Daphnia pulex: one gene and its partner. Each later gene encodes a partner of the first gene's protein in a complex. Links are inferred from orthologs where the notes say so. Each region holds a gene or a part of one and is shown in the gene's direction. Other genes may lie near its edges.

Evidence for each region.
Region 2: the proteins of myosin heavy chain, muscle-like (region 1) and myosin light chain 1-like are in contact, whole or in part, in a crystal structure (PDB 5W1A), measured with the Drosophila melanogaster proteins. The link is inferred for Daphnia pulex from reciprocal best matches to the Drosophila melanogaster genes Mhc and Mlc1. Residues at the interface, in NP_723999.1 of Drosophila melanogaster: Arg25, Ile26, Ser29, Asp718, Lys720, Met721, Arg722, Gln724, Ile725, Pro728, Arg776, Leu780, Gly781, Ile783, Met784, Ser785, Trp786, Met787, Gln788, Ala789, Trp790, Ala791, Arg792, Gly793, Tyr794, Leu795, Ser796, Arg797, Lys798, Phe800; in NP_001287569.1 of Drosophila melanogaster: Phe14, Val15, Val18, Met19, Asp33, Arg36, Ala37, Asn39, Leu40, Asn41, Pro42, Thr43, Leu44, Glu78, Gln79, Gly80, Cys81, Asp84, Phe85, Glu87, Cys88, Leu89, Lys90, Leu91, Tyr92, Asp93, Lys94, Glu96, Ala103, Glu104.

Annotation. Positions count from the first base shown.
Region 1 is NC_060026.1:1,464,542-1,468,432, reverse strand, and holds the start of myosin heavy chain, muscle-like, read left to right. Parts: upstream 1-992; 5' UTR 993-1,141; intron 1,142-1,498; 5' UTR 1,499-1,666; coding exon 1,667-1,867; intron 1,868-2,049; coding exon 2,050-2,196; intron 2,197-2,392; coding exon of another isoform or gene 2,393-2,536; intron 2,537-3,309; coding exon 3,310-3,466; intron 3,467-3,891. UniProt on the Drosophila melanogaster protein: Muscle contraction.
Region 2 is NC_060024.1:12,182,201-12,186,119, reverse strand, and holds myosin light chain 1-like, read left to right. Parts: upstream 1-1,555; 5' UTR 1,556-1,687; coding exon 1,688-1,690; intron 1,691-1,805; coding exon 1,806-1,830; intron 1,831-2,607; coding exon 2,608-2,748; intron 2,749-2,831; coding exon 2,832-2,999; intron 3,000-3,080; coding exon 3,081-3,167; intron 3,168-3,543; coding exon 3,544-3,593; 3' UTR 3,594-3,678; downstream 3,679-3,919.

The DNA of each region.
Region 1 (3,891 bases):
ATATAAGTCGATCCCCCGCGTTTGTGAACGATCTAAGCAAATCATATTAAGGAAATGTACACAGCACACGCTCCAGCAGCAGCTGCCGGAGCGTGTAGGTTTCGGCAGGTCTTATTCCGTCACCTTATGTCTATAAAAAGACCCGCGTTCGCCGCACGGAACTCGAAACGTATAGATGCCCCAGTTCCTTTCACGGGGAAGTTTCTTTTGTTTATTTTAATTATTTTTCTTTTTTACTTCCCGATTTTCATATCAAAATCCTGTCGATGATTTTCGGGCGTGATTTCAAAAAGAGGTGGACAACGCCTATCGCTCGTCCATTAGCACCGCATTACGTAATTGGGTAGTAGTTTTATATGCGGAATGAAGATGAAATAGAATCAACCCTCCGATGTGGCGATTGATCGCTATCAAAACCATTACAGCATTTATAGGTGTAATGGGGAGGAGGATTAGATTACGTAACAGCTTAATAATATTATATAAAAGCTCTATAGAGTGAAAAGATTGACACTGCGGAGAGCTGCTCAGCCTTTTGGGTGTTTTCGGTTCGTGCCAAAAAAAGCTTTTCACCCATTTCTCTCTGTGTGTTTGTGCTTCTTCTTGCGCGTTCGATTTTTGTTTTTGCTCGGCGTGAGCGAGAGAGGGGAAGAAGCGCCTTGTGTGCAGCACGCCCGCATTCCATCGCTCACGGCTCCTCTGTCCTTGTTGCGCGGCTGCGGGAAAAAAAAAACGAACGAAAGGGAATGAAAGCGACAGAAGAAAGAATATCGAGAAATATAAGAGAGAAGCTGTGCGCGCTGAATATACGGGGGAGGGCCACCTTAAAAAGGCATGGGCCTGCCTTTGAGACGTGTGTGCAAGTTCTACCTTCTCCTCTCTCTCCCATGTCCGTTCATTCGCCTTTTTGGCCCTTTTGGCTCTCGGCTCGAAATACTTGAGCCCCGGCCGTCACAAGGAATTGAAAAGGAAGAAGAAGAAGAGGAAGAAGAAGAAGAAAGAAGAAAAGGAAGTAAAGGATGTTGAAAAAGAAAAGAAAAAATTCAGAATAACCAATAAGCTAGAAGAGGGCGGAGTCGCCTTTAGGGTTTAAATAGGAGCCCTGGTTCGCTTTAGACAGACAGTTGAACAGCTTTCGAACGTAAGTGTGCACACGAGGATTTGCCTCTCCTACCTACCTACCTATTGCAAATTCGAAAGACAAAATTTGTAACATTTTGTTTTCAAACTTTTAGTTTTTTTGGCTTTTGACAATTTTCGATTTTAGTAGACGAAACAATTTTGTTTGTAAATTTTTCTTCACTTCCCACAGTTTTTGATTCAATTTTTGCCTAATAGCCTTTAAAAGTGCCCCTTGATTAGATAAGCCCAGCCTACACAAAGTTGTGACAACTCGGATGTGGATTTTGATAATTTTAAATAAGAACACAATCGACAGTCCTTTTTTAATTGTTGTTGCTCACATTGGCTGATGTTGTTGTTGTTGTTTTGCACACAGGAAAGCGCTCCAGGGCTGTTCTAACGCGTGTTGTCCCGCCGCCGTGTGTGAAGGAGATCCGCCAATCCGAATCCCACACGAATTTCAACCGTCTCTCTCTCCTCTCTCTCATCAACTTGTTTGATTTTTTGTCGTCGTCGTCGTTGATCAACAACTCGAAACAACAAGATGCCTCCCAAGAAGGATATGGGACCCGATCCCGACCCAGCCCAATACCTCTTCGTTTCCCTGGAAATGAAACGTGCTGATCAAACCAAGCCCTACGATGGTAAGAAGGCCACCTGGGTCCCATGCGAGAAGGACAGCTACCAACTCGGTGAGATCACTGGAACCAAAGGTGACCTGGTCGTCGTCAAGGTTGCTGATGGCGTAAGTAGAACACAACTTGTTATCAATTCTTTCAAATCAAAGAGTCCAGTTTATAAACATTTGGAAATTAAAAATTTGATGGGGGGGTTGAAGAGTAGTAATGATTTTGAAATTTTGGAATTAAAATTTGGCCATTGCGCTGCTGTTTTTATTTCTTTTGGGGTGGGTACTAAACTAAATAGAACGAAAAGATGGTCAAGAAAGACCAGTGCTTTCCGGTCAATCCGCCGAAATTCGAGAAAGTGGAAGACATGGCAGATTTGACTTACCTGAACGATGCGGCCGTCTTGCACAATCTAAGGCAGCGCTACTACCACAAACTGATTTATGTAAGTCGAAACGAGAACTGGAATCTACTAATCAATTTCTTTTTTGTTTCGTTTTTCTTTCCTCCCAATCATTTCCCACCACAAAACAAAAATTCGATCCTCCCGATGGTCCTCCAAATTATCCGGAATTCCTCCAATCGATTCCCTCCGTATTTCCAACCGCCCAAAAAACGACCAAATATTACAAAAATAACAGGAGAAAACCTTTAAGAAAGATCAGTGCAGTCAAGTGAACCCCCCCAAATACGAGAAATGCGAGGACATGTCCAACTTGACCTACCTTAACGATGCCTCTGTGCTATGGAACTTGAAAGCCCGTTATACCAACCAGCTTATCTACGTAAGTGCCTTGTGGAGTTAACCTTATAACCTTTTTTACCTCCCTGCCAAACAAACAAACCATGCATCCAAAATCACCTCATATTATCAGCTCCAGCTGTAGTTAGGAGCCCCTATCTCTGATGTTCTATCCCTCGTTTGCTGTGATATTCTTTGTCAACTCCCACAACCAAAAGGGAATTGGTAGGCCTATTTTGATTGCATGTCTACACACTACCTTTTAATAACCTAATTTCATATTCAAATCTAATCCCAACTGACACCACTCTCTATGATAGATCCTCCATCCCCAAAATCGATCATCATCTTGGGTCGACATCCTCCCTCGTCCGTTTTTAGACTTGATTATTCGTCCTATTTTCAAATTTAGGACAGTGTGAATTTGCCACCCTCTACCTTTTTCATATACTCTGTCTCTGTCGTGTGTGCGTGTTTGATTTCGAGTGTTGACGGATCCAGAAGCCTCAAAGACGAGCTCTCTGCCGAACCCCGTTATTCGCCAGAAATGCCCAATTAGAAAATTTGTTTCTTCTTATTTTCATATTTATTATTCCTTTTCTCCGCTTTTATTTCTTTTTGGTTTGACATCATTTTTTCCCTTGTTCTGCTGCTGAGTGTTGTGTGGTTGTTTTTGGTTGTTTTTCTTCTTCGGTTTGGTGTTGTTGTTGTTGTTGTTTGAATGGACAACAACACCACGAGCAGAAAAAAAAAAGAAAAGTGAGGACACATGCTAATGAGTTGATTATTTTGATTCCGATGAAATAACAACAACAGACCTACTCCGGTCTCTTCTGCGTGGCTATCAACCCTTACAAGCGTTTCCCGATCTACACCCAACGTGTCATCAAGATGTACATCGGCAAGCGACGTAACGAAGTCCCTCCCCACATTTTCTGCATCTCAGACGGTGCCTACATGGACATGTTGACCAGTAAGTTGTTTCTCTCTAAGCGTGCAAAAATCCTGAATAAAAATCCTTCCACCCACCCACCAGTAAAAGGAAAAAAAAAAGAATCCTTGGGCTCTATGCAGCTCCCACCAATCGGCAGCCAGAGTTTGGTCGTCAGACCAAACTTGGTCCGATAGACGGGTCTAACCAGTTGCTCCTAATACCCATACAGTAGTAGTAGTGCTATTTCCGGACCCGGACTGGAAGAGATGAGCTATAGCAAAAAGAATCCAGGAGCTGGAGCCAATAAGCCTCAAGGGTTTTGAGCCCTGCAGCAGGGCTGCTGGCTCTTGTGTAGAGAGTAAATGGGATATATTTACCTTTTGGCCAGACCCGTCGGGAGCAGCCCAACGTTTAATTTTAGAAAGACTACATAACCTGGATGAATAGCTCCTGCTGGCTCTGGC
Region 2 (3,919 bases), on another chromosome or scaffold:
GCCTTGGATTTAATTTGTTCCTCCACGTCATCATAATCTATACTTTATACAGATTTAAATACCGAACTTCCCAACATTGTGTGTTGCTTTTATAGAGTTTCACATTGAAAGAGCATCACACACCATCGGCTTGAAAACACTCAAATAGTCTGGGAATGTCTCTCTTGACATGACGTGTCCACCTTCTCAGTCCATACAGGGAAACGACTCTGAAACCTATTGGACTTTTTTTTCTCTGCGTTCCCGCAACGTCCGCGCTCGGTTGCTCGATGCGTGGCTGTGATTGGATATTGTTCTGCCCGCGTAGGGTTATATTTGGAATGAATCGGTACGTAGTAACGCCAGAGAGCCGCGAGTCACTTCAGAACTTTGTCCTGGAAATCCAGGAAAAATTTGTAATTTCGTCGTCTGAAATCATTTGGTTAATTCGCTTATTCGGAACCTCAAAGGAGATTTGGTTGGTTCGTGTTTCTCAACCCGATGCTGATTTGAAGGCATGCCAACGCGCTGATGGTTCCCGATGTGGGTACCGGCGTAACATATACGAGTGAATGTCCGGTTCGGCGGCGGCTCCGTACAGGCGGGCTAAAATAGCCGCCGATGTTGAAGAGAATTTTGTTGTTGCTAGACACTGGAGCAGCTAAGAAAGAGAGAGAGAGAGAGGCAAGCAGGGGAGAGAAGGACAAGTCCAACCATGGGTCGAAGATACACAAGAACGTGACGGTAGTGGGTCCTATCTTTGTCCCGTATGCTGAGCAAGAAAAACCTCCGTTTACTCTCTTGCTCCCCCGACGTTCCACCACCACCACCACCACCCGCCGCCGCCTAGTTTCCCAGTATATGGTCTCCCGTCACCGACAGAGGCGTTGCCAAAAAGCTTCCGCAGTAGCTCAACTTGTCCATTCGACTCCTCTAGCTGGAACTAAAATTAAATCGCCTGCGCAGCGAAGAACGAGAGAGAGAAAGAAATGGAAAAGAAAAAAACGAACGAAAACTTTGCCTTACAATCTTTTCCTCTCTCTCTCTACCGTCTAGCGTCCGATTTCTGTTTCTTTTTCCTTGTTTATTTTCTACCCTTTTTTGAACGTTGTCGATCGGTCCGCGATATTTTGCGTCTGACCACATTTCTAAACTAACCGCCCGAATGAATTCAAATCAAAATAAAGTCACGGGGAGACTTAAAAATAAAAATCATCGCCATATGGTCATTCGTATGAGTCATTCGATCGAGGTATTGTACGGATAACAAGTCGATTATTAATCGGGTACACATGCAGAGCGTATAATGTGCCTGATAGGACAGTAACGGGACATGAGTTGGTACTGCCAACTTACGAATAGCACAAGTAAAGATAGAGAACGAGAGAGAGAAGCAGAAATTAGCATTGACCTAAATATGCAATGTCAGTTAAGGAAGTGTGCGACTTTTAGAGACGAATAGAAGAGAAAAAAAGGGAGGTGCTGCACGAAAGAAGAAGACATTTTTTAAAAAAGAAAAAAAGGAAAAAAAAAAACAAGCAAACGAGGAGGATCAGAGGGAGGCGGGATCGATTGGAAGGCCCTCTAGTTGCGGGTATAAAAGAGCCGGGTACATGTTGCCCGATTGCCTTAGTCTCTCCGGTGCCCGCGTTTTGTGGATTTCGATTGTGATTCCTTCCTTCAGCCTTACAAAACCCCAGCAGCAGAAATGGTGAGACACTATTACCCCCAACTTTTTTTTAAAAAAAACCCCAAAGCAAATTTCATATTCACATTTGATTTGACGAAGCCTTTTAATCATCTTTGCCTTCTTTCTTCGATGGCAGGATCTGAGTGCTCGCGACATTGAAAGTAAGTTTCCTTTTTCAAACCTCATCTGTTTACCTTAGTAGTGCAAAGAAAGAAAAAAAAACAATGCGGTTAATTGTAACACGAGCTTTTTAGTTTAATAGAGTTGTGTGCTAAATGCTCCTCCCAGTGAAAGGGTTTTCTAACCTACATATACGGGAAACGGAAGCGTGTCCAAGTATGGTCATCATCATTCGGTGCCGAGAACAGTTCCGTGTGCTTAGAGCCTATACACATACGCAGTGTGGATTGGAGTGTGTAGGACTTGGCGTTTGCTTTGGCACCGATTGGGACGGGATGCTAAGTTTAGTCGAGGGAGAGGGACTGGCCGGGAGGAATTAGGTTACTACACTACAGGAACTTGAGGGTGGTTCGGGGTGGTGGTTGGGTGGCGGGAGCGAAAGGGAAGTATACACACGTATAGATGAGTCGACCGAATTCCGTCTGCACAATCTATTTTTACACGCCTTCTTCTTCTACTCTTACTCGACGCTCCTGAGCTATTGCTGTTTAGCTGCTTACACCAGAAATGCGATTGTGAGACGACCATATCACCCTATTACTCCGTGACGTTCCAGTTTTATTTCTTTTCCCGATTTTCAGCTGCCACATATTGCCATTGCCAATTCCAACGTTCCTTTCAAATTCTTTACTGGTGATGAATTTCAACGATCGCAACCGATTTAGAATGTTATCGCTCTCCCCTATCGACGCTTTAGAGAAACACGGACGTTATTAATTGTTTATTCTACAAATCTAATTGTTTCGATTGATTAACAGGGGGGAAATTCGCCTTCTCCATCTACGATTTTGAGGGTAATGAGACTATGGACATGTTCTACTTGGGAGACTGCCTCCGAGCTCTTAACCTAAACCCCACCTTGGCTCAAATCGAGAAAATGGGTGGCACAAAGAAGAAGGGTATGTTTGTTTTTGTTTTGTTTTTATTATTATTTCCTGTTTACTTTACACGTTATTTTTAAAATGTCGCATTCATCCAACAGGAGAGAAGAAGATCAAGGCTGACGAATTCTTGCCCATCTTCTGCCAGATCAAGAAAGAAAAGGATCAAGGCACCATTGAAGATTTCATTGAGTGCATGAAACTCTACGACAAGTCCGACAACGGAACCATGGTTTTCGCAGAGCTCCAACACATCCTCATGGCTTTGGGTATATTTACCTGGGATAAATCAACTTTTTCATTTTGAAATTGGCGGAAATATTTGACTATCGCGTTTGCTATTCAACTAGGCGAGCGCCTCGAAGAGAAGGAAGTCGATGACATCATGGCTGCCTGCTGCGACCCCGAGGATGAGGATGGCTTGATCCCCTACAAACGTGAGTTATTCCCATTCGAGCACCTTACACACACAATTATACATCCTGAGATCTTTTAAATAATTTCAAATTTGAAATTTAATTTTTGACGAGTTTTCATAGTACTTCGTTATTACAATATTGATGCGTGGATTAGTGATTATACAACTTATACCTACAGTATGAGTGAGTGTTTAAAACGGGTTGTCAAAAACCTCGTTGTTGAATGACCAACCCGCAAGTCAGAATAGAGTCACAACAGCCTCACATCCTCAGCCGTCAACTCGTCGTTATATAGTGACGATACGCTGAAGGCTGAAACAGAAATTTTTGCACGACCAATCGACATATCGTATAAAACGTTACGATCATATACCCTTTGTCTTCTTTGCCATAGCGTTTCTTAACCGACTTTTGGCCGGACCCTACCCCGACAGTCAGCAATAAGATATTTAAGTGTTACGCCTCTTCAACCCTACCCTTCAACAAAAAAAAACAAAAAAACGCAAACAGTTACACATCCATCAGGTTTGTGGTCATCCTCTAAGTCGTGCAATTCAATTCACGTCTGCTGCTCCTTCACCTAACCGCCGCAACTATGCATGCGCTTCCATCACTATTAGTCATTAAGATTCCGTATAGTCATTTCAACAGCAGAAACTGTTTCATTTGTAACGAGACCGAAGTGGTCGGTTCATTACGATAACCGGAACTCATCTTTACGCTGTTCGCATTACGCTATAAATGGCTTATTACTTTCTCAACGCTTATCT